Linked DNA regions of Drosophila melanogaster. The protein of the gene in region 1 purifies or fractionates together with the protein of each later gene. This does not show direct contact. Each region holds a gene or a part of one and is shown on either strand. Other genes may lie near its edges. The genes, in order: CG10494 and GAPcenA.

Region 1 (9,787 bases):
TTTCATATTGCCATTATCCACATAGCCGGCATTGCTGACCGATGAGCTTGTGGTGATGGATGCCATGCAGGCGAGGATCAGCAGCACCGACCAGATGGAGCTGCTGTCCCACAATCCTCGCGATATGCTCATCCACATGCTGATAATCATCATGATATCGATGCGCGGTCGATTTGCTTATATTCACCAACTGTACAAACACGCGAATCTCGGCAGAATTGTTTGTTTACTTCGAGATGCTTTGCCTGAGTTGAGGGGGGGGGGGGGTGGCGTTGTGGTGCCTAGTCAAGCGTGGCCGACGCTCCTCCTTGCCCCATCTCAAAAAGCCAGACTTTGACCGGCGATTAGCAACGAGCTTTCCACTACAACTTTTGACCCGATCTCTGTTTTGACTTCACTTCTACAATATATACGTATGTATATTCGCGAAATTAGCGTGCAAATCGTAAAAGCGCACAGATAACGCAAACGATCGCGCGGGGGTGATTACAAAAAAAAAGCTGAAGCCAATGCGAAACCAACTTGGCGAACACACACACGCACGCACAATAACACACACACACACACTCTGTTGTTGGCCTACAAGCTCCGCCTGTTGTATTATTGTGTACAATATAAACAATTACGATTACGATTACAATTGCACTTGATAATGATATGAAAATATCATAATATTTATATTTTTTCGTAATATACCCGATGTTAATTTGCCCGGCGATTTACCGAATACGCAAGCGCAGTTTTCTATGATGTTATTTGTTGATGTTTTCGTTGGGAAACTGAAACACGGGCAGCCCGGCTTGAAATTTATCTTCAAATTTACAGAGTGGCTATTGCGGGTTGCTTATATAGCTTCGGCCGAACCGTTTAACCGATTTGCCCGTTTCGCTCGATGTTCGAATCGAACTTCGCTCTCTCTCTCTCGCTCGCAACAAGTTGCAGTATGCTGTGGTTGCAGTCACCGATGGAAATCAAGTTGCCAATTACTTTGCAGCTAAAGCCCGAGTTGGCATGCCCCAGAAACTACCATTTTTTCTCCTTTAACATTTTTGACATTTCAGAAAAACTACAAATCTTATTGCAATTTTTGACGTTGGTAAAAATGACACTTACCCACTTGGTACACCATTTGTTGCGGAACGAATTAACACTCTATCGATATTGCCGATAATTTTTAACGATATCATAAAAAGTCAAACTTAGTATTTATTGTATGAACATATTTTAGTTTTTAACCTAACTCAAAAGCTAATTGCCCTTCCGGCCAGAGTTTTGTTAAATATATATATATTATTAATATATTCTATTATGTTAATTTAATTTTTTGTTAAAAAGCGAACAGCTTAAACTTTTTAGCACCAAACGGAAAATAGTTGATATGCTATCACCGATCAGTCTTCGCGCAACCATGGAAGTGATCAATGCGGTAATCGCGGCACTCGTATGCCTATTTATTGCCAACAATAACGTAATGTCGCGCCTGCTGGTTGAGAATTGTGGAATATCAAAGGACGATCCATACGTTCCGAACATTTTTGGAGGAGCCAAAACAAATATTCAAGAAAATCCTTGGATGGTGTTGGTTTGGTCGAGTAAGCCCTGCGGCGGCTCTCTTATTGCACGGCGTATGTATTTGACTAAAACATTGGTTATTCTTTATTTACTCTATACTAATATATTAATATATTTATATTTATTTAGATTTATAATATAGTTCATAGTCCACGATATATATATCTTAACTTACATGTACCCAAAAACTGAAAAGCATATGAATAAATAATCGAGATAGTCGACTATTTTATTATTTTTTTATTATTTATTTATTTTTCTTTTAAGAATTCGTCCTGACAGCAGCGCACTGCGTATCCTTTGAAGATCTGTATGTGCGCTTGGGTGATTACGAAACACTAGATCCCATGCCATACTGCCTTAACAATCACTGTATACCAAAGTTCTACAACATTAGTGTGGATATGAAAATTGTTCACGAAAATTATAATGGCATCACTCTCCAGAATGATATAGCATTGCTTCGTATGTCCGAAGCTGTGGAGTACTCAGGTAAATAGAGGGGTTTTATCTCACGTGGATGACTAAAGCTTTATGTTTTTCGTTATAGATTATGTTAGGCCAATTTGCCTTCTTGTCGGCGAGCAAATGCAAAGCATTCCAATGTTTACGGTTACCGGCTGGGGTGAAACAGAATATGGTCAATTCAGTCGGATCCTACTGAATGCCACTCTATATAACATGGATATATCATACTGTAACATTAAGTTCAACAAACAGGCTGATCGATCGCAGATATGTGCTGGCAGTCATACCAGTAACACCTGTAAGGGCGATTCTGGAGGCCCATTGAGCTCGAAATTTCATTATGGCAACAGGCTTCTGAGTTTCCAGTACGGCTTGGTCAGCTACGGATCCGAAAGGTGCGCGGCTAATGTGGCAGGTGTTTACACCAATGTATCGTACCACAGGGAATGGATATTTAATAAAATGGTTCAATTCAAACCTACAGGTCATACTACCTTTTGGTTATCCAAGCTCGTAGGCCAAACTTGTAACATAACAGACATAATAAGGAATATAGAACTAATGTATAACAGAATTGTATATGAAAATTAATTAATATTCGACAAAATGGCAGGGCAACGCATCGAAGTTCGAAATATATTAAAGTTCAAGAGATTTAATTAAAAAAAAAAAATCTTGTCATTAATTGAAAATAAACGATGTCACATTCAAATCGATTGTAAAAATTGTATTAGTATTTTTTCTGAATAAATCACTTCTTATCTCTGCCGTTTGCCGAAGAACAAGCATAAAAATAGAAACCGATGCCATTCGAATTTAGTCTCTGAACAAGATGCGTCTACCTATACGGCAGCTTGTGATAGTAGCCTGTCTTTTTATTGGGATTATCCGGACGGAATCCGGACGCTTACTGGAAAACGACTGTGGAACCACGAGCAGTAATGGTTATAGAGCGCGAATCGATGGAGGTAGAGATGCTGGCATGGAATCGAATCCCTGGATGGTCAGAGTAATGATTTCGGGAAAAGCAGTGTGTGGCGGTTCACTTATAACTGCTCGTAAGTATTTGGAATTGATAATAAGAAATATATACTCAAATTATCATTGTATGTTCATTTAGGATTTGTTTTGACCGCCGAGCATTGCATTTCCCCAATGTATATGTGAGTGCATACCATACTATTACTACACATTTGATCCTCAAAATGACCTTTTTTAAGGAATGTGCGCCTGGGCGAATACGATACCCGACATCCCATATTCGACTGCGATGATTTTGTCTGCACACCAAGGGCCTACAATGTGGACGTGGATAGGAAAATTGTTCATAGTAATCCAGGATATGATATTGGTCTGTTGCGAATGCAAAGGAGTGTGATATTCTCAAGTAAGTGCATTTCGCTATCAAAAGTTTCTTGGGAACTAAATATGTAACTAACTAAAGTTCGCCATAGACTATGTCAGACCAATCTGCTTGATTCTGGGCAAAACGTTGGGTGGGAACCCACTCTCAATATTACGCTTCAATTTCACCGGATGGGGTACAAATAGTGATGGAGAAGAGCAAGATAGGCTACAGACTGCCACCCTGCAACAATTACCTCAATGGAGTTGTGAAAGACCTGGAAGACCTCTCGATATATCCTATATATGTGCCGGCAGTTATATCAGTGATTCGTGCAAAGGCGATTCGGGAGGTCCTTTGAGCGCAATTCGTACATTTGAGGGGCAGGGAAGGGTCTTCCAGTTCGGTGTCGCTAGCCAAGGACTTCGGTTGTGCAGTGGCTTGGGAATTTACACCAATGTCACACACTTTACGGACTGGATATTGGATGTTATTCAAAACCATTCAGACGACTTTGAATGAGATCAAAATATGTTGCTTAATAACAATATAATGTTTTAGCGTATATATTTTGGCTATCAATATCATAGTTTCTTGTTGGTTTTGGTTTTTTTTTTCAGATTGTAGGCTATTTCTACATTTAACATACATATTCCTTACATGAAACATACATTCGAGCAGAATGTATGGTACGGCCGCATCGATGCCGATAACGATAGGTAGCTTAACGCGTCCTACTATCGATGACAGTTTTGTTATTGTTATGATTTGATCAAGCTAAAAAAAAACCGATCAAATATAAATATATATTTATTGATTTCATTGCGCGATTTAAGCATAACCATTTGAAAATGAGCAAGTTCTCGCTCTTCAATGGCAACGATGAGGACGAGCACGAAACGGAGCAGAAATACGCACACCTTATGAGTGGGTAAGCAGCGTCCTCAGCCGGTTCGATGTTACCAAATCCTTACTTTTCGTAACAGATCTGGGAAATGCGAGTCACTCGGTGTCGGAAAATAGTTCTGGGAAAGCGAGTCGCTGCAAGTGGACCAGCGCAAAGGTGGAGACCTTTCTGGAAATCATTCACCAACTTAAACTGCAAGCTGCTCTTCGAAGGCCGCGAAGCAATGCAAAGGTGTTTCGTATGGTGTCCAGAGAAATGGCCCGGCGGAACTGCCCCAAGAGTCCAAAGCATCTGAGAGTCAAGTTCCATCAGATGCGGCGTCAGTATGCGAGAGCTCGGAATGGCGGCGAACCATTCGAGCACTTTGAGGCGGTGCACGAGTTGATGCAGGGAGAAGATGTATCTGATCTGGATGAAGAGGCGCTAGAGAGTGACAGCGATATGGAGGCCGACGAGGACCAGTCCGGCATGATCTCAGAAACCGAAGGGGACGGTAGGTGCCACCGGGCAGGAATGTATTGGAATACGAACTTAGGCGACTTTCCTTCGCAGATGCTTTGGATGCCTCAGGATCTTCAGTTAACATCGTCGCCCGCTGCAAGTGGGCAGAGGGCGAAGTGGACCTCCTCCTAGACCTGATCCACACACTTGGACTGCGAGCAGCTTTGCTGCAAAAGCGCAATGCCAAGGTCTTCAAGCTGCTGTCCAAGGAGATGGCAAAACGCAACTGCCACAAGGGTGCTGAGAAGCTGCGCATCAAGTTCCAGCAGCTGCGGCGATTGTACAACAAGGTCAAGAACGGCACGGGGAAAACGTTCGAGCATTTTGAGGCGATGCGACTGGTCCTGGATCCCACCGAAGAGGAGGCGGCCGCAGATGCTGAAGCGGAAGCCCATCTGAGCAGCGCAAGCGATAGTGATTTCAATGACAGTGACGAGGAAGAGGGTGATGCATCACAGAGAAGCGGAGGTAGATATTATAATAGCTAGTTCCTATTCCATATTTAATTAAATTCCTATGTTCCTTAGCGCACTTTTGGACAGACGAAGAGGTTGATTCGTTTCTACTCATCATTCGGGACAATGGTTTCTTTCGCGCCTTGGATGGCTCAAGGAAGCGCAACTTCCAGACCCTGGTGCACATTTCCAACATCCTGGCTAAGCAGGACATCAAACGCACGCCACACCAGCTGCGCAATAAACTAAGGCTGCTCTGCAAGCGTCATCGAGAGGCCAAGGAGCACGGGCTAGATAATGTACGCATTCTGCCTCGCCACTTTGAGCTTTTCGATGAACTGATTCAGGCGCCGCGGGAGAACAGAGAAAGTGCCATCAGCAGGCTCATTCGCATCAGCAAGCCTTCCTTTCTCAAGCCGCCAGGCAAACCAAGCGTTCCGCTGGAAAGTGACAGCGACAACTCCAGCTCCACCTGCGATCTCCTAAGAGCGGCAGCCGATAGCGAGGACTACGTGGACGCCATCGAGATGGAGGCTGAACCAACGCCGATTGAAGCACTCACTGCAATCATAGAAGGTCAAAAGCAGCTGCTTGCGCAGATCAAAACTACCAACGAAAGCTTCTTGCGGCAGCAACGCGAGCAGCAGCATCAATTTTTGGAACAAGTATCGGAACTGATGCATCGAGATCGAGAGGAGACCCTGCGCAGGATCAGCGAAATGCTGCAACCGAAGTAATGGAAACATAGAACTCAAGCTTCTAAAACTTTTATTGAATTGAATTCGAAGTTATTGCAAAAAGTTGTCATTATTTATATATATTATATGTATGTATTCTATATTCAATATCGTGTGTGTGTGTGTATCCTGTTTTTGTGACAGTGTCCTGTGTCTAGAATTTATTCCTCATTCATTGTGAACAGAATGTTGGTTTGAAGTTACTCGCAATTCGCAATTGTCTACGATTTATCTAGGGTTTTGTATAAGTATATACGTAATTTTGAGAGATTTTTCGTTTTTTATTTGATATGCTACATTGTTATTTTTTGGGATTAAGTTAACAGTTGGATTCGTTTTAGGTTTTAACATTAAGCGAAAATGCTCGTTAGTTTTTAGTTTTTGTTCTGCTTGTGTCATCTGTATACACATATGTATATATTTTGTATATTGTTCGGTTTACAACAACTAAGCAAGCTCGTCATAAAATATGTGTTGCACTCCAAAAAAAAAAACAATGTAATCAATTGGGCATAGAAAACTAAACTGCTGTTGCTGATCTGAACCGATCTGGCTTGATATATATACGTGTATGTTCGTTACGTTACGCTCAGGCACAAAGTGTAAATTACAAATATCTCTCCGCATCTCGAAAACCATAGGGAAACACAATCAATCAATCAACCAATCAATCAATCAATCAATCAATGGGTTCTCATTTGGTGGTTAATTATTGCATTCGCATTCATTTCCTAGCGGTGTGTGAGTTGCTTGTATTTCATAATATTTTTTATTCTTTGAGTTTCTGTGGCTTTGTGTCTCTTGGAGCACGGCTGAAAGCTTGGCTTGACTTGGCTGCTGCTGCTGCATTATTTTTTCTCAGTGTGTGGTAACAACAATAACAAGGTGTCTTTTGGAGATTATGTGGACTCTGCAGTAACAATCTAAGAGCTGACCGGCTCGGGCAGTGGGTTCTCTGTGATGCGTATCTTGTTGCTCTGGGTGCCGTAGTAAAGCGTGCCCGATGTGTCCGTGGTCACGTAGGCTCGGTTGCCATTACCGGTTCCTGTTCCGTTGCCGCCGGCACATCCGTTTCCGTTCTCCAGATCCTGGTCGTCCCCGTCGACGCTGCGACCATCCGCATTATTATTGTCCCCCTGGCCGGCGGTGGTGTTGGAGTTGCTGCTGGTGCAATTGATGGCCGTCTCCCGAAGGCGATTGCCAACGCGAAGGCTCAGCTGCCGCTGGCGATCCCGCTCCCTTTCCCGCTCACGATCGCGCTCCTCCATCGCCTGCTGCTGCTGCTCCCGGAAGTTGGCAAAGAAGATGGAGGAGTAGGTGTGGTATTTAGTTCCACAGGGCGAACTCGCTGGCGTGGACAGCGGCGTTGCTGTTGCAGTTTTATAAGTGGAGTTGTTGTTGTTTTGGGGGGAAGGTAGTAGTAGTTTGGCTTTTGTTATTTACGTTATGTCACTTGATAACATGTAAGTTGTTGGTTCTTGTTCTTGATGGGTGTTTTTCTTTATACACTTTCTAAAAGGCTTGCCTGCTGTTTTTGAAATGTATGTACGTGTGGTGATGTCTGTACGTTTGCAAAAGGCTGCGATTAAAATAAATAAAATTCTTAGATTTGCTTGACTCTCTTAACTCTTAAAATTCGAATGGAAGTTAAGGCTTTATGTCCATTGTAAAGATAACTATGTAGTATTCAATAATCTCATCATTGATTATGGTTACAATTTACATCGTTTAATTCAGTCTTTATATTGTTTAATAAGGCTAAGTTCACTTGAAACTATCTTTAGTTAGCTGAAGCTATAAAAACAGCTTACAACACATGAATCTAAATAATTTACCTCTATCCTTATTTTAATCGCAGCTGCAAGTGTATCTGTATCTGTATCTGAATGTAATGTGTATGGTGTGCATTTTGCATGATTCGAGATGAAAGCGGCGACAATCTGCTGCTGCTGTTGTTCTATTATCGTTATAATTAATAAATTTTATTATTATTGTTGTTTGTTGTTGTTGTTGTTCTAGTTGATGGACGAGATGGAGGGGAAGGGAAGGAAGCTGGGCTGAGATTTCGCGATGGTCGATGAGCGGATCGATGCGATGCGATGCGATGCGATGAGCTCCCTTTGCTGGGATTGAATTGGATGTGGCTGCTGTGACGACGATGCTGCTGCTGTGGGAAAGAGACGCGACTCCCAGTGGCCAGAGGACCATCAACACCAGATATATTCATATCTCGGAGGAGTATATCACTCTGGCCGCACCGTTACAGTTCGAAATTCACGTTGTTCGTTCGTTTATTTAGAATTCTCAAATATACAACAAAAGCTTACACTTTTCAATTTTCGTTTCGTTTATCGTTTTTCTCGACTTGAGTATGGTTAGTGTAATGTAATTTGTATATAATAGCGTTGTCATGTATGTATATTTGTATAGTGTGTTTAAACTTATTGCTCTCGTACATTTAAGCTGTGTTGTGGATGGTGAAAGCAGCCCGACTTTTAAGGCATGTGGGAGAAAAGGGGTGACACAACGAAAGGCAATATGTAAAGTACATATATGCAATGCATTTATTTATGTAGACAACAAACGAAATGGAAACTAATCACTTGCCGCTTTCCACTTAATAGCTTACCAACTAAAAATCGCATTAATTACAAAAAAAGTATTTAACATAAAACAAAAGAGCAACGATAAATTTCAACGCAAATCACAGAAGTGGAGAAACCGAAGCAAGATTATTTTGCCCTTAAAAGCAAAGCTGTAAACCATTTTTCTCAGTGTGGTTATTGTTCTAATTTTTTGTTTTGGGTGTATCGGCGTCGGGTGATTATCCAATTGCTCTCTCTCTCTCTCTCACTCACTCTGCCCCACCGAATTGGGGCCGATGCTGCCGCTTCTGCCGATGCCGCTGCCACTGCTGTTGCTCTCTCCATTCGCTCACATAGTTCTGCTCTGCCGCCGTCGTTCACTGTACAGTGAGCTCAATTTGCGTGGAACTGCTCCGGCTGACCGATGAGATTTTGCGCGCCAACTTTTGCAGTGTGCCAACAGCTTTTGGGGTTTTCGAAATTCAATGTTCAGTTGTTTGTGGTTGTTGTGGTAATTGTTTTCGTTGTTGTATAATTTGTTTTCAATTTGCGTGTAAATAAACAAAACAAAATGATAGGTCAAATAAATGAAAGAGTTATTCGAAACAAAAGGCGTGTGCGAGAGTGTGTGTTTTTGTGGAGGAGAAAATTAAAGAGAGCGTTGGAAAAGCGAAAGCGCATCAATGGCCCAGCTAACGAGGTTGCACTGTACTCAGAAGCAAATCTACGCAGATGCAGGCTAGTGTAAGTCATTTTCACTATTCAACTCTCAAAATCTTAAGGTGTCGGGCGTTAAGTCAGGAAATTAGTAAGACAAGTTGTATTTATAGAAAATATAAATAAATTTGTATAATTTCATAAAATAAAATGTACTGCTATTAGTATTTTGACAATATATTAATTTACCCGTTAACACCTTAAAATATCGAAAGAACCTTGACTAGCTGTGTGTGTGTGTGTATGGGTGGTTTTTAAGCTCTACTTTGCCTATATAGTTGTATATAATGTTAATTTGAATTATTGTATTAATTAATTAGCTAAATGCATTCCAACTAGATTTCGGGTTTATTTGTTTTTTTTTTTTTGTTTGCAATTTGTTGGGTATATTACTGCTTGGTTGCTCCGGCAGATCTTCCTACTGAGGTTTCTCGGACACTACGATCACAGGTGCGAATATGATGGTGTACAAATATACATACCATATAAACGATTATTAT
Region 2 (13,157 bases), on another chromosome or scaffold:
CCTTGTGAAGCTGCTGTTCGAGGGGGTCAATCAGGCACACAGCTTGGCGCGCGCAGCCGATGGCCACAACCTCGTCCGCCGAATGGCTGTTGTGGAGCTTGGCATCCGGGAAGCGGGCTCCCACTGCCGCCTGAAGCTTGGGGATTTGCATTGTGGCGCCTAGTAGAACGATGTCATCTATTTTACTCAACCCGGGATGCTCCTTTTGCGCCTGCTCCACACACTCGCCTAGCTGCTGGATGAGGTTATTGATCACTGGCTGTATGAGGCTCTCGAAGCGAGCACGCGACATCTGGGCATTGTAATCAACGCCGTCCATCAGGGAGTCGATATAAAGTTGCGTGGAAGGCATCGTGGTCAGGATGTGTTTGCAATTGGCGGCGGCAGTGCGTATTTTGGCCACTGAGCGGCGAGACTCATGCGGATCTAGCTTGTACTTGCGACGGAACTCCTCGCAAATAAACTGCACCAAGGCCTCGGTGAATTGCCGGCCACCGATGGGGAAGGGTCCGAAAGTGGCCAGCTGAACGAACAGGCCATTTTGGACGGAGTAGAATGCGATGTCGCTATATAAGCCACCGCATTTGATTGTCAGCACATGGCGGCGCTGTTCCGTCTGCTCCTCGCCGATGCTATAGCCTAGAACGGCGGCCGTGGGTTCGGTTATAATCTGGGCCACATGGAAGCCAGCGGTTTGAGCGGCATCTGCTAGCAGTTTGTAGGCCGAGGCGGGATAGTAGCTGGGTATGGATAGCACGGCAATGGGCGCCTGCTCCCCGTCCGTGTGATATTGATGGGCCAGCTCCAGCTCAGCGCGCAGCAGCTCCACCGTCACCTGATAGGCGCTGAGGTCCTTGGTCACAACTCTATCGTCTTGGTCCTCCCTGTCGGAGGGTACAGTGTGCTCCATCCGGAACACCAGCTCCTCCTTGTCAAAGTCGCAGGGTATTTCACGCAGCGCACTGGACAGTTTCTCCTCCGTGAGCTCTTCCTTGGGCTGAAGCAACTGAAAGCTGTGCGCCACCGCCTGGCGCGGACGGTTGGCCATCTTCTGCTTGGCCGTGAGGCCACATTCGATCTCCGAGGCTCCGTCCCAGAGAAGGCACGCTTGGGACACTCGGTCGCCCTGTTTGTTGGCGATCACCTCCGCCTTGCCATCCGCGCGCACATGGGCGATGCAAAGCGTGCTGTTGCCAATCTTAATGCCAAATCGCGGCCACATCTTTTGGGAGTCGGAATCGGAGTCAGAAGTACCCGGACTTAAGGAATTATCTTAACAAAATGCAACGAATAAACGCGCACGTTTTTTTCCAGCACGCGCGGTAGTGTTGTGTAGCAGAGTATTTGGCAACACTGGCGGGGTATTATGTCACGGCGATGACACTTTTTCGATATGTACTATATGTTTAATATGTTCTCAATATTTTCCATACATCACATACCTTTATAGATTTGGTTCTTTGAATTACAATTTAAAAATTTATTTATATTTATTTAAATTTATTCAAGACAAGTCATTTCAGTCAAAGACAACTTTGTAATGCTATTGGATTATTTAGATTGCCATATAAGCATATGGCAATATGCATAGAAAAGAAAATAACTAGTCGATTAAGTCGATAGGTACACTTATTAACACTTTCAAAAGAAGTATTGAATAACGTTAAAGCAGCTGTTTCCTTTCGATAGGAATCGACCTACTGCAGGTCATCACTAGCAAAAAAATATGTAAACAAAACAGACGGAAAATTGCAAGAAAATTGCTAAAAACCCGATAAAAACACAACAATAAAGGGTCAAAACAATGTACTACAGTTCTGCGGAGTGTAGGCTATAATATAAAAACCAAAGTGTAAGCTCAAAGCAGCTGCACGCACTAAAATAACAAAAAAATCCATAGGAATCCAAGCGCAGAGGCTACAGAGACAAACTGTTGACCCCGCCGACCCCACCGTCCACCACCCCCTTGAAGGCCCAACCCCTCCAGTTCCCACGCGAATTGGGCACTGTGTGACATACATGCGCGTGTGTGTACGCCCCCAAAACGCCAAGCAAACCGTACCGATTCGTCATCGATTTACGGCGGAACCAAGCCAAACAATGCGACTCCGCTGAAAATTGGACAAATTGAAAACGAAATCTATTAAAAGCGAGTGCGAGTACGAGTGCGTGGCCTTGGAACAGAAATTGATTTGTTTACCTGCCCTGAAAATGCGCAATTCGTAGGGCTTAAGAATAAAGAAAGTCCGAATATATCACACACACAACAAAGAGTAACCCATTTGGGAGTGCCTGGAACTGAGGCAACCTTGAGTGTTCGGAATGGATGATAATCTGAGCACCAAGTCCTCGGAATCCTCGATAACAACCAGCGGGGAGTACGAAATAGTTACCGACAGCAATGTGGCCAGTCCCATGGAGCAGGTGAAGCAGGTTGTCAACCAGGAGGGAACTCAGCCTGAAGTGGGTGGCAAACCGCCCACTTCGCTGAGTGCTCTGGCTCTGTCCTCCCCCGAGGCTGGGGGAGATCGCTCGCCCACTCTGGACATGGCCCACAATCGCAACCTAAGCGACATGCAGCACGAGATGACGGACGCCCTCAAAGATCTGGAGTTGGAACGCGGCGTAGGTGAGTAAAGAAACACAACTGAGAGGGTGAATTGGGTTGCCCTGGGTAGCCTAAAGTAAACTCAGTCGTTGCCCAACGCCAGCTGTGCACACAACGTCGCGGTCGCTCCACTATTGGAAACATCAAACGATTGCTAAGCCTAACCAGCTGCAATCTTATCGGCGCAGAGCCGTAGTGCTACGCTGTCATGGAAACAACGACAAACAAACCGAATAATAATACTTTCCTTAAACAAAATTCCGCATAATTCGGCATTTGTTATTGCTCGTCGCGTAATTGACAATTAACATATTTGCAGCTGCCAGTGGGGAGAAGTCAGCGCAACGTCTCCCGAGTCATCAGCAAAAGTCCCTGACCCTACCGCTCACGGGCTCCGGCGGGGGATCTGTCGATCCCGAGATGCGTTTCCCCTGCACCTTGTTCACGCCCAAAAGCGAGGAGACCCTCGACGATGCATCCAGCTCAAACAGAGTGGGTCATTCAGTGTTCTATGACTGCATAGACGCTAGCCCCGCCTGCGTGGAGGAAAAACAGGATGCCATGAAGCCGGAGAAGGGCGACACCACCGACGAGGAGGGTGAGTAGATCTCTTAAGTTAGTTAAAATCCCAAAAATTAAGGGGTACATTTGCCTATAAATTCTGTTCATTTTACGAAAGCCTATATACTCACAGAGTTCTTTATTATTTGTTCTATATTGTGTTCCTAGGCTCCTAAAGCTGAAATCTATGTTTAGTGTAATTATTGAAATTTAATTGACCATGTGTTTTTCACTTTCAGTTTCTGAAATCGATCAGGGCTGCACCATATTTTCCGGAGTCACCTACCTGGGCGCAGCCAACATTAATGCCCCAAAATCCGAGACGGAGGTTTATCGCATCATGGGCGAGCTAAATAGTGGCTCAAAGTCGGTGGGCCTGAAGATCACTGTGAGCATACCCAATTGCTCAGAAGGCCTGGTTGTGTGAGTAAAGTTTTTACTGCCCCTTGAATTACTCACTGAGCGTCATCATGCTGCTATTACAGCCTCCACGATGCCGAGAGCAATACTATTATTGCCACCTATGAGATATCCAGCATTATCTTGTACTATCGAGGACCAGTGGATACGGTGGAAAACGGATGCTTTGCATTCACTTGGCTTCACGGCGATGCATTGTTTCAGTGCCATGTGTTTCGGTGCCATATTCCCGAAGCGGTTAATCAAGTCAGCGGTGAGTCAGATCATACAGTGATTTCATCCCACCGATTTATTCAAAATCTTCGCCCGCAGCCTGCTTCCAGAAGGCATTCCAGACTTATCCGCCCAGCATGAGTTGCAGCCTTAATTCGGCCGTTGACATGGCCAACTCGGTAACCTCCGATGTAAGCGGAAATCCTTTAAACACGGCTGGGTATGAGTTCATAGTCTCCTTAGAGATCCGTGAGCGAGTGGCAAAGAACTCCTATGCCGCAGTGCCTCGCGATAGGGGATGCTTTAAGCTAAGGGCGAACACAGATAAGGAAGTGTGCATCACAGTCAAACAGACTCCGTCAAATGTTCTTCAACCATTGCATATCGAACGATGTTTCGGTGTTCTAGTGGCACCCGGAAAACTAGTAGTCCAAAAGGATATGCATTTGATCGACATGCACAGCATGGGTTACATTCAGCCCGGCGGAACAGGAGTAGCAACCGAATCGGACAGCAATGCCCAGCAGAGCTCCTCCTGGCCCTATACAATTCGAGCTGAGTGGAAAGCCCAGGAAAAGGCCTTTGAGCAGTTAAATCTTGAGTCGTCAAAGACCAATCTCACTGTGGCCGTAGACATTGTGATGCGACGTATACAGGAACCGGTTAGGTTCGTCATTGAGACCCCAGTGACCATTCAGTCGGCCAGCGAAATGCGTATTATGGACCATTTTATGTCAAAGCGACCCATGACGTTACGATTCTATTTGCATCTAAAGCGGACCGAAGAGTCCAACTGGAAAGTGAATAGCATTGATCCCTCTGAGGAAATAACGGAGCAGCCGGGCCACCAGCAAAGCTCTTCCCTGCTCAAGATGGGTATGAATAATCTATCGCGCATTGTGCGCAGTTCGTCCATTGCCTCGATTGAGGATGATTGTCCCTCGGACTACAGCAGCGATGGGGATGAGCCGCTGCTGAGTGGCACTGGTGAGGTATCTAAGGATTGCTCGCAGGACACGCTCGACGAATGGGATCCCATTCTGCGTGAGTGGGATTCCGAGAAGAGACCGAAAAATCTGGCACCTTTAGTACGCCTCGGCGTTCCAGAAGCACTGCGTGAAAAGATCTGGCAGAAGCTAGCCAACGTCGAGGGCAGAATGGAAATGAACGACAAGTACAAGATCTTAATCACCAAAGTGAGTATAGACGCTATCCATGTGAAAAGAAATTAATTGGAAATTTACTTGTAGGAAACCAAATGTGAGACCGTTATCCAGCGGGACATCCATCGCACTTTCCCGGCGCACAAATGCTTCAAAGAAATTGGCGGTTCTGGCCAAGATGCACTTTTTAAGGTGTCCAAAGCGTATGCCGTTCATGACAGCGAGGTTGGATATTGTCAGGGTCTAAGTTTCATAGCAGCTAGTCTGCTCCTTCATGTAAGTAATGATGATGACAATCTACATCTAAGAATGATTGCTTACACACACATTTTCAGATGCCTGAGGAGGATGCGTTCTGTGTTCTGGTAGCGCTTATGTACGACTATGGGCTCCGTGATCTCTACAAAGCCGGATTCGAGGTCCTTTACCTTCGTCTCTACCAACTGGAGCGACTGATCAAGGATCAGCTGCCCAAGCTGCACGAACACTTCACGGCCTGCGGCATTGAGACGCACATGTACGCCTCCCAATGGTTCCTAACCTTATATACAGCGCGATTCCCATTGTGTTTTGTGTTCCACGTGCTGGATGTGTTTCTACTGGACGGACTACCTGTGCTCTTCCAGGTGGCCGTTACTCTCTTATCAATCTGTGAATCCGACTTGCGGCAACTCGATTTTGAGGGCATTCTAAAGTATTTCCGGGTAACGTTGCCGAAAAAGTGCCGCAGCTCCAGTCAGGCACGCAAGGTGATGAAGCAAGCCTGCGAACGTAAGATAAAAAAACTGAAGCAGTACGAGGAGGAGTTCCTGCTGAAGAAGCAGCACAAGGAGCGCCTGGAGAAGGAGGCACAGATTTACGAGAATCGTTTCGGCGAGGAGAGGCGCAAAATGCAGGCGGAAATCGACGCATTGAACAAACAACTGACTTCCGCCAAGGAGCGAGCTGTTGAGAAGGAGAAGAAGCACACAGGCATTATACAGGAATACAAGCAGATCATCCAGCGCCAAGAGCAGGACATGAACACACTAAGCGAGACTCTAGGAAAAGTGATGGTGAGTATTGTATTGTAATATGAATTTGACGGGATATTCATTTTTCAACTCTCTTTCAGCACATGGTTTCCAATTGCCAGGATTGTCAGCAGCAGATCGACGCCGGCAATGACAACGCTAAGTCAGATGACGGCAAGAACAGGGGGCAAACCGATGCCATGCGGAATGCCAATGAGCATCCACTGGGTCCACTTGATCCGCTAAACGCTGCCTCGCAACGCATCCGCGAACTAGAGCTGGAGCTGGCCCAGGCCAAGCTAGCTCAAGTGGAAGCCGAGTGCAAGAACCAGGACCTGAACCATCAGCTCAGCAATACGCTCAGTGAGCTGCAAACCAACCGCAACAGCTGGCAGCCCTGGCTATCGAAGACCTTCAATTCGCTGCAGGAGAAGGTAACCACGCGAGGCGGCCATCGGGATAATGGTAGTGGCGGACCGATGCCCTCATTCCAATCCTACATGGGCCAGGCGCCAACTACCCTAAGCGAGGCCAGCTCCCCCAGCGGCAATCAGGTAACCTAGAGTCCAGTGATCCGGCCAACTGTTATGACTGAAAGATCTTCAGTTTATTATTTTTAAGTTTTTTATGTATTATTTCTATGATTAAGATATGGGTTATCAGCCCACGAGCTGAGCTCCAGGAATGTTTTCGAAATACTTTATTAATACCCATTACTTATCATTGATTAATTTAATTACGCGCTTAACCTCACACCATGACACACATTGAGAATCTTTATTTAGTCGACTCTATGCAGGCATTGAACCCCTCTGCTGTTTCTGTTAGTACCCTAAAACCCGGGTTGCTTATGATTTTATTGATATTTTGCGTTGCAAATAAAACCCCGTGTATATAACATACTGAATTTGAATCTTTTGGTCCCTCGAATGGCTGCCCAGGAGTACAAGACCTTTGCATTTGCGTCGGTGGGAGGGTCACCGAAGTTGCCCAGCAAATTCCAGGCCACCAAGCTGCGCAACAGCATCGATAGTCTGCGCAATATAGTAGTGCCCCTGGACACTGGCAAAACGCTAGCCGAGAATCTCAAGCAACAGCTGCAGCAGTAGGAAACGATACAGCTACAACGTAGGAGGATCTGGATAGCAGGCAGACCTACGGCATTGACTACGTCTGGTATTATTTATCATATTCGTCTATATATACATATAAAAACGTGCATTTTGATTTCCATATATACGCGAGTAATAGATTTTTATTATTTTGCACTTTGAGGCACCCGAAAGTCAGTGCTGGTCAGGATGTGCCCCGGATCAATTAGTGGGTTGAAGTGAATCTTGGGCGATGGATGTTCGTTGTTGTTTTTTGTGATCTGATCTGGGGCACATATTGATCTGCTCTGGCAAATGCTACACGTATAACGGCTATAAATAAATAAATTAACAAAAAATGCTAATTCATAATGTAATTATTCATTTCTTTTTGCGGTATGGTACATATTATAAAGAATACAAACGTTGCGACCTTTTGGATAAGTCTTGATGAAGTTGAAGTTAATTATTTATTAAGAATTTCAATAAGCTAATAACATTCGAGTAAGAAACAGGCTTATTTATTTATATGTGACTAGAATCCGACCAGAATCACACCAGGCTTTAATACTATCGTTCCACTTGTCCACTCTTCCATTTTGAATCTCCCGCTCAGATGAAGAACAATCGCTGCATTGCCTCGCTCGTTTTTTGTGGCGTCGATACCGCCATTGTCGCGTAGTTCATCAAAAGATCGGCCGACGAGCTGCGCTGCATGAGACGCCTCCTTCCGGCACTGCCACCTCTGGCATTGCTAAAGGATCGGCTCCTCACATGACCCCGATGACGCCTCTTGGGCCGCTGGGCTACGGCTCCAAAGCAGGACACCTGCTGCTCCGCTTCGCTCTCACTTTCGCTGTGATTCGGGTGACTTTCCACTATCACATGGGACTGGAGTGTCTGGTTGGATTGCTCCATCTCCTGGGTAATGGTCTCCGATCCACTTGTGTCCTCGGGCGTCAAGCGAGCTCGTTTGCCCACACTATAACTCGATGGGTCCCTCGACAACTCGGATCCGAAATTACTACTGCTCCGTTCATGTGGAAGATTAGTGCCGTAGCTCAGGAAATCCGGGTACGGCAGATGCAGCTCATCGCTAGTGAATGCTTCAGGAGAGGAGAAGGTATGTCGCAGCCTCCGGACACGGTAACCCCTGCCAGGTGGAACCTGTTGCACCACCAACCACGATCTCTTTAGGAAGGTGTGCTCCGTGCAATTGCTGATTGTCTGCTCCGGACTTTGTTTCTGCAATTGGTTCTGGTCGGTTGTCACAGGACTCTCTGCCGTGGTGGAGGGCAAGCCTAGAGTGAGTGAAATGCTAAGTGAGTCGCCTCCCTGGGTGCACTCATCTGCCGTGCTGCCGGGCGTTGTGGCTGACCCACCTGCTGTGGGTAGTTCACCCCCAGCGGATAACGATGACGGGCTCGTTGAAATCCCCACGGATTGGACCCGCTGCCCTGACTCCTTTGCTGCCGGGAGAGACGTGCCTGCAGTGCCTGCAAGTGGGACTCTGTGGGTAAGTTAGCGACTGCAGGGCGGGATTGGGGGAACTCTCGACCTACCACAAATAGCCGTGGCGAGGAGCATTCGCTGGGCCATCGTCTGGACGTGTTCGGCATCCTCCGTTGTATCCGTGGCAGCCACCGCATGGGTCATTGCCGCCGCCGAGGTACTGGGCTGTTCTTGATCCCTTTCCAGGGTGCAGCTGCGATGCAGTGGGAGTACCGATTGCACGGTGCAATTGCTTGCGGCGCGACTGCAGCTCCGATCTCTAGGCGGAGCTCGACGGGCCCGTCTCTGGCGACGTGGCTCCCGTAGCTCCTGTTGCATTCCTACCTTGATGACCTCCTCGTAATCGGGTGGTGCCTCGTAGCTGGGTGGCTCATCGGGCGTGCGATCCTCGTCCTGGCGATCCAACAGCTCACTGATCGTCTGCAGGTGGCTTTGAAGCTCACGTTGGTGTCGTGCTCTAACCCCCATCCTGTACAGGATCACCATCCAGCCGGACAGCACACCAAATATGCCAAGTGTGCTGATGATAAAGATTCCCGTGGCCGTCTTAAGATCTGGATACTGGTCTATCTTGGGGAAATAATAGTTGGGCTTGTGAGAGTACCAGCGACGATCGTGATGCAGGTGTGCCCAGTCCTCCTCGCAGGAATCCGGCTCATCGCTGCCATCCCCACAATGGTCGAAGCCATCGCAGTGGAGGCGAATGGATATGCAGTGATTGTTCCCGCACAGAAACTCCGAGCCAATATAGCAATCTAAGCAATTCGAATTGGTTAATTAAACATTAAATTTAAATTTTCCAATCGAACTCACTCAAGTAGTTGAACACGCTGTAGACGATGGCCAGCTTGGAGGACATCCCGAATACCCCACGCAGTCGAATGTAGTAGCCATTGAGGATGGGCGCCACATGACTCTCCTTGCTCAGCCCATTGTTCGGCCACATCACATTCTCGATCTCCACGGCATCCGAGGTGGTGCCCTGCCGTATTGTGAGCTCAGATCTGGCGGCCATGCCGTAGAAGTCATCCACTCTCAACGAGATGTGGGTTTTCATCATCATGTAGTTGTTGCCGGGCTTTATAATCCAGATGCAGTCAAACAGCCGCACGTCCGTGGCATTTTCGATCATGTTCATCATGGTGATGGCGCCACCAGGTCCGGTAACCATTCCCCCGCAATCTAGAGGTGTAATAGAGATATGTACATAAGCATTTATTTATGTGCTCTTGCATCATGCATTGTGATCCAACCTGTCGCAATAGTGCATAACCAACCCCATTCCGGATTATATACAAGTATTTGCCAACCACCCTACGGGCAATGATCCAAGAAATCGATTGTCTTACCAAACCGAACCCAACCAGAGTCACCCAGTTTCCACTTCAACGCCTTGCATTGACATTGATATTCGCCAAGTGCCCACCCCACCCACTACCTTCGCCAAAATCAATATGACAATTGCCTGCAGACTTTCAAGTGCTCGACTAATCCGAAAATCATTAAAATGTCCCTATTCCTACAGAGAAAAGATATACTAATCCATTTAAAAAGTTAATCAATCTGCGAGTTCTAAAATGAAGATAAGCATAATGTTCTATACTTTTAAAAACCTCGAATTTTTTAATCCTGCGGAATATTTGTGTTTTAACCTTAGATCTGAGTTGTTTGATAGTCTTAGTTTTTGTTCAGTGCACTGCAACCCATTCACTTACCTGTGTAGGGCACCAGTCGCTCGTCCTTGAGCTGCTTGGAGGATACGAAGCTAACCTCCGCGCGAAAACCCACTCCGGTGGCGGAATTTCCTCGAAACTGCAGGAGCAGAGACTTGCCGCTGCTCACCGTGATCGGCGGACGGAAGTGCTCACCCGTATAGGAGTCCAGCATCTGGCCATTGGAGTCGAAGATCTCTAGGGTGGAGGTGAGGCCCAGCTGGAAGTCGGTAAAATCCAAACGCACCTGGCAGTTGTCCGCCTCGCAGGTGAGGATGTGTTCGATACCATAGTCGCGTGGATATGCCATCGGGAAATACGGCGTGGAGATCACTTGTGGCTGGGACTTTGTACTCCCATTGCCCACAATAGACTGCTTGGGGGAGCCACTGACTATCCGCACGTTGCCTATTCCGAGGGAAATCCGGATAGAGCATTCTTAAAAACCTACCAACTGATTCTAAATCTTACGTTCCGAGAAGTATTGAAGGGAGAACACGTGCGCATTGCTGGCTCTGTAGAAGAATTTCAACTGCAGTGTCCTGGTTTTGCTCCGAAACACCTTGCCATCTCCACAGAACTCTTGGCCGGAAATGGTGGAATCATAGGGCGGCTCCGAGAACTGGATATGCTCGCAGGGACACATGCTGGACTTGCCACCCGTATTGCCGCAACTTTTGGAGAAGTTGGCATAGGTGAAGGCCACTCGGATGACGCACTCGGCACAGGTGACCAGCTCCAGGCTGCACTGGTACCACACATCCCCGGCCACTGCATCGTTCTTAAAAACCAGCGGCGAGCTCTGTTTTTAAGTTCATAATTGCTGACCAAATCCCGTCTGGAGAAGCTTGTAAATACACTTACTCTATAGGCAGTAGTAGTCACATTCCTGGCGTGCACCTCTCCAGCTGGACTTCCCAGTTCCAGGAAGTGACGTCTTCCGTCCCAATGATTGCATATATCCAGATCCCGGTAGCTACTGCTGGCGGGATACGCCTCTCCTGGCCAGCAGAGCAGGCAGATCACGTAGGCCAGCAGGTAGCCATAGCCCAATGCTTCGGCTAGCATCGATAGTTTCGTCCTTCTAACAGGATCCTGAGCCCCTTCCGCTTGAACCGTCTCGGTCTGGTGCCGCCAAGTGTTAGAACACAACTGTGGCCATTTCGCTGGCAAATCCAATAAACCCAGAGCCATCAGAAGCCGCACAAGTGGACCGGGCCTCGTAACGAGCCCACCCTCGACTGGGTTAAAGACCTCTCGAGTCCGGTATAAAAATACATTTATTTGAAATTTCTTTTCCGTTAGACGTTAAAGGGAAATCAGGGTTTTTTTTTGCGTCTCGCAGAGACAATGAAACAGTGGGAAACATGCATCGAGGACACGGATTTTTAGCCTAGGACATGCACATCTACAAAAACGAATGGAAATATTGTGAATATGGTGACGAGGACAAGGCATCGCTGAGTAGTTTTCTAGAGATGCGAGGCCTGCTGCTCGGACTGAGTGCCGGATAGTCATTTGGCAGCAACGGCATTCTTGGCCAGGGCACCCTCCAGGTTCTTGGCCAGCGTGTTAATGAACTCAAAAGTCTCCTGGTAGTCCCTGCGAGTAACGGCGTTGATGTTGCCTTTAATGCAGATGGCCAGATCCTTGGTCATGGCGCCGCTCTCAATTGTGTCGATGCACACCTGCTCAAGGGTGTCGGCGAACTGCTTCAGTGGCTCATTGTTGTCCAGCTTGGCACGATGCAGCAGGCCACGGGTCCAGGCGAATATCGAGGCAATGGGGTTGGTGGAGGTCTCCTTGCCCTGCTGGTAGAAGCGGAAGTGACGCGTCACCGTTCCGTGAGCGGCTTCAGCCTCCACGGTCTTGCCATCGGGGCATAGCAGCACGGAGGTCATCAGACCCAGAGATCCGTAGCCCTGGGCAACGGAGTCCGACTGCACATCACCGTCGTAGTTCTTGCAGGCCCACACGAAGCCACCCTCCGACTTCATGGCATAAGCAACCATATCGTCGATGAGACGGTGTTCATACCAGATGCCCGCCGCCTCGTACTCCTTCTTGTACTGCTTGTTGTACAGGTCCTCGAATATGTCCTTGAAGCGTCCATCGTACTTCTTCAGAATGGTGTTCTTGGTGCTCATGTACAGCGGCAGCTTGCGGTCCAGAGCATATTTGAAAGAGGCGTGGGCAAAGTCCACAATGGAATCGTCCGTGTTGAACATTCCCAGGGCAATACCGGGGCCCTTGAAGTCATTAATGACCTCATCGATCACCTGACCGTCGGTTCCCTTCCAGGTGAGGGTCAGCTTGCCGGGTCCGGGAACCACGTAGTCGACGGCCTTGTACTGATCGGCGTGGGCATGGCGACCGATCACAATAGGCTTCTGCCAGCCAGTCACCAGACGGGGCACGTTCTTGCAGATGATTGCCTCACGGAAGACGGTTCCTCCCAAGATGTTACGGATGGTACCGTTGGGCGACTTCCACATCTTCTTCAGGTTGAACTCCTCTACGCGCTTCTCGTCGGGAGTGATTGTGGCGCACTTGATGCCCACGTTGTACTTCTTGATGGCCTCAGCACAGTCAATGGTGACCTGGTCCTCGGTTTTATCGCGGTTCTCAATACCAAGATCGTAGGTATGCAGCTCAATGTCCAGGAAGGGCAGAATCAGTTGGCTCTTAATGGAGTCCCAAATGATGCGGGTCATCTCGTCACCGAGGACATCCACAACGGGACCGGCTTTGATCTTCTGGGCCATCTGTTCGGGAGAGCATACCACACTTGAGTGCTTGAAGGGCAGGATGGGAATCTTATTAGCTACATGAAAAATGGATTTGTGTCTGAATGCTGCGGTATT

Evidence for each region.
Region 2: the proteins of CG10494 (region 1) and GAPcenA purify together in Drosophila melanogaster (affinity purification with mass spectrometry, with the first as the bait; one large-scale study listed by BioGRID). This does not show direct contact.

What each region holds. Positions count from the first base shown.
Region 1 is NT_033778.4:21,513,455-21,523,241, reverse strand, and holds CG10494 (uncharacterized protein), read left to right. Parts: upstream 1-4,116; 5' UTR 4,117-4,236; coding exon 4,237-4,312; exon of another isoform or gene 4,313-4,316; intron 4,317-4,371; coding exon 4,372-4,785; intron 4,786-4,844; coding exon 4,845-5,261; intron 5,262-5,320; coding exon 5,321-5,985; 3' UTR 5,986-6,087; downstream 6,088-9,787. Other genes in the region: CG30289 (uncharacterized protein), read left to right, coding at 1,409-1,625, 1,840-2,064, 2,123-2,631; CG30288 (uncharacterized protein), read left to right, coding at 2,873-3,098, 3,161-3,203, 3,261-3,427, 3,495-3,907; MESK2 (misexpression suppressor of KSR 2), read right to left, coding at 6,909-7,354.
Region 2 is NT_037436.4:8,344,848-8,358,004, forward strand, and holds GAPcenA (GTPase activating protein and centrosome-associated), read left to right. Parts: upstream 1-1,713; 5' UTR 1,714-2,322; coding exon 2,323-2,629; intron 2,630-2,693; exon of another isoform or gene 2,694-2,927; coding exon 2,928-3,206; intron 3,207-3,408; coding exon 3,409-3,592; intron 3,593-3,654; coding exon 3,655-3,842; intron 3,843-3,901; coding exon 3,902-4,998; intron 4,999-5,052; coding exon 5,053-5,241; intron 5,242-5,300; coding exon 5,301-6,020; intron 6,021-6,079; coding exon 6,080-6,532; coding exon of another isoform or gene 6,533-6,541; exon of another isoform or gene 6,542-6,877; intron 6,878-6,919; coding exon 6,920-7,087; 3' UTR 7,088-7,432; downstream 7,433-13,157. Other genes in the region: CG7182 (uncharacterized protein), read right to left, coding at 1-1,222; Culd (CUB and LDLa domain), read right to left, coding at 7,682-8,565, 8,632-9,336, 9,395-9,763, 10,297-10,701, 10,765-11,095, 11,158-11,361; Idh (isocitrate dehydrogenase), read right to left, coding at 11,808-13,088.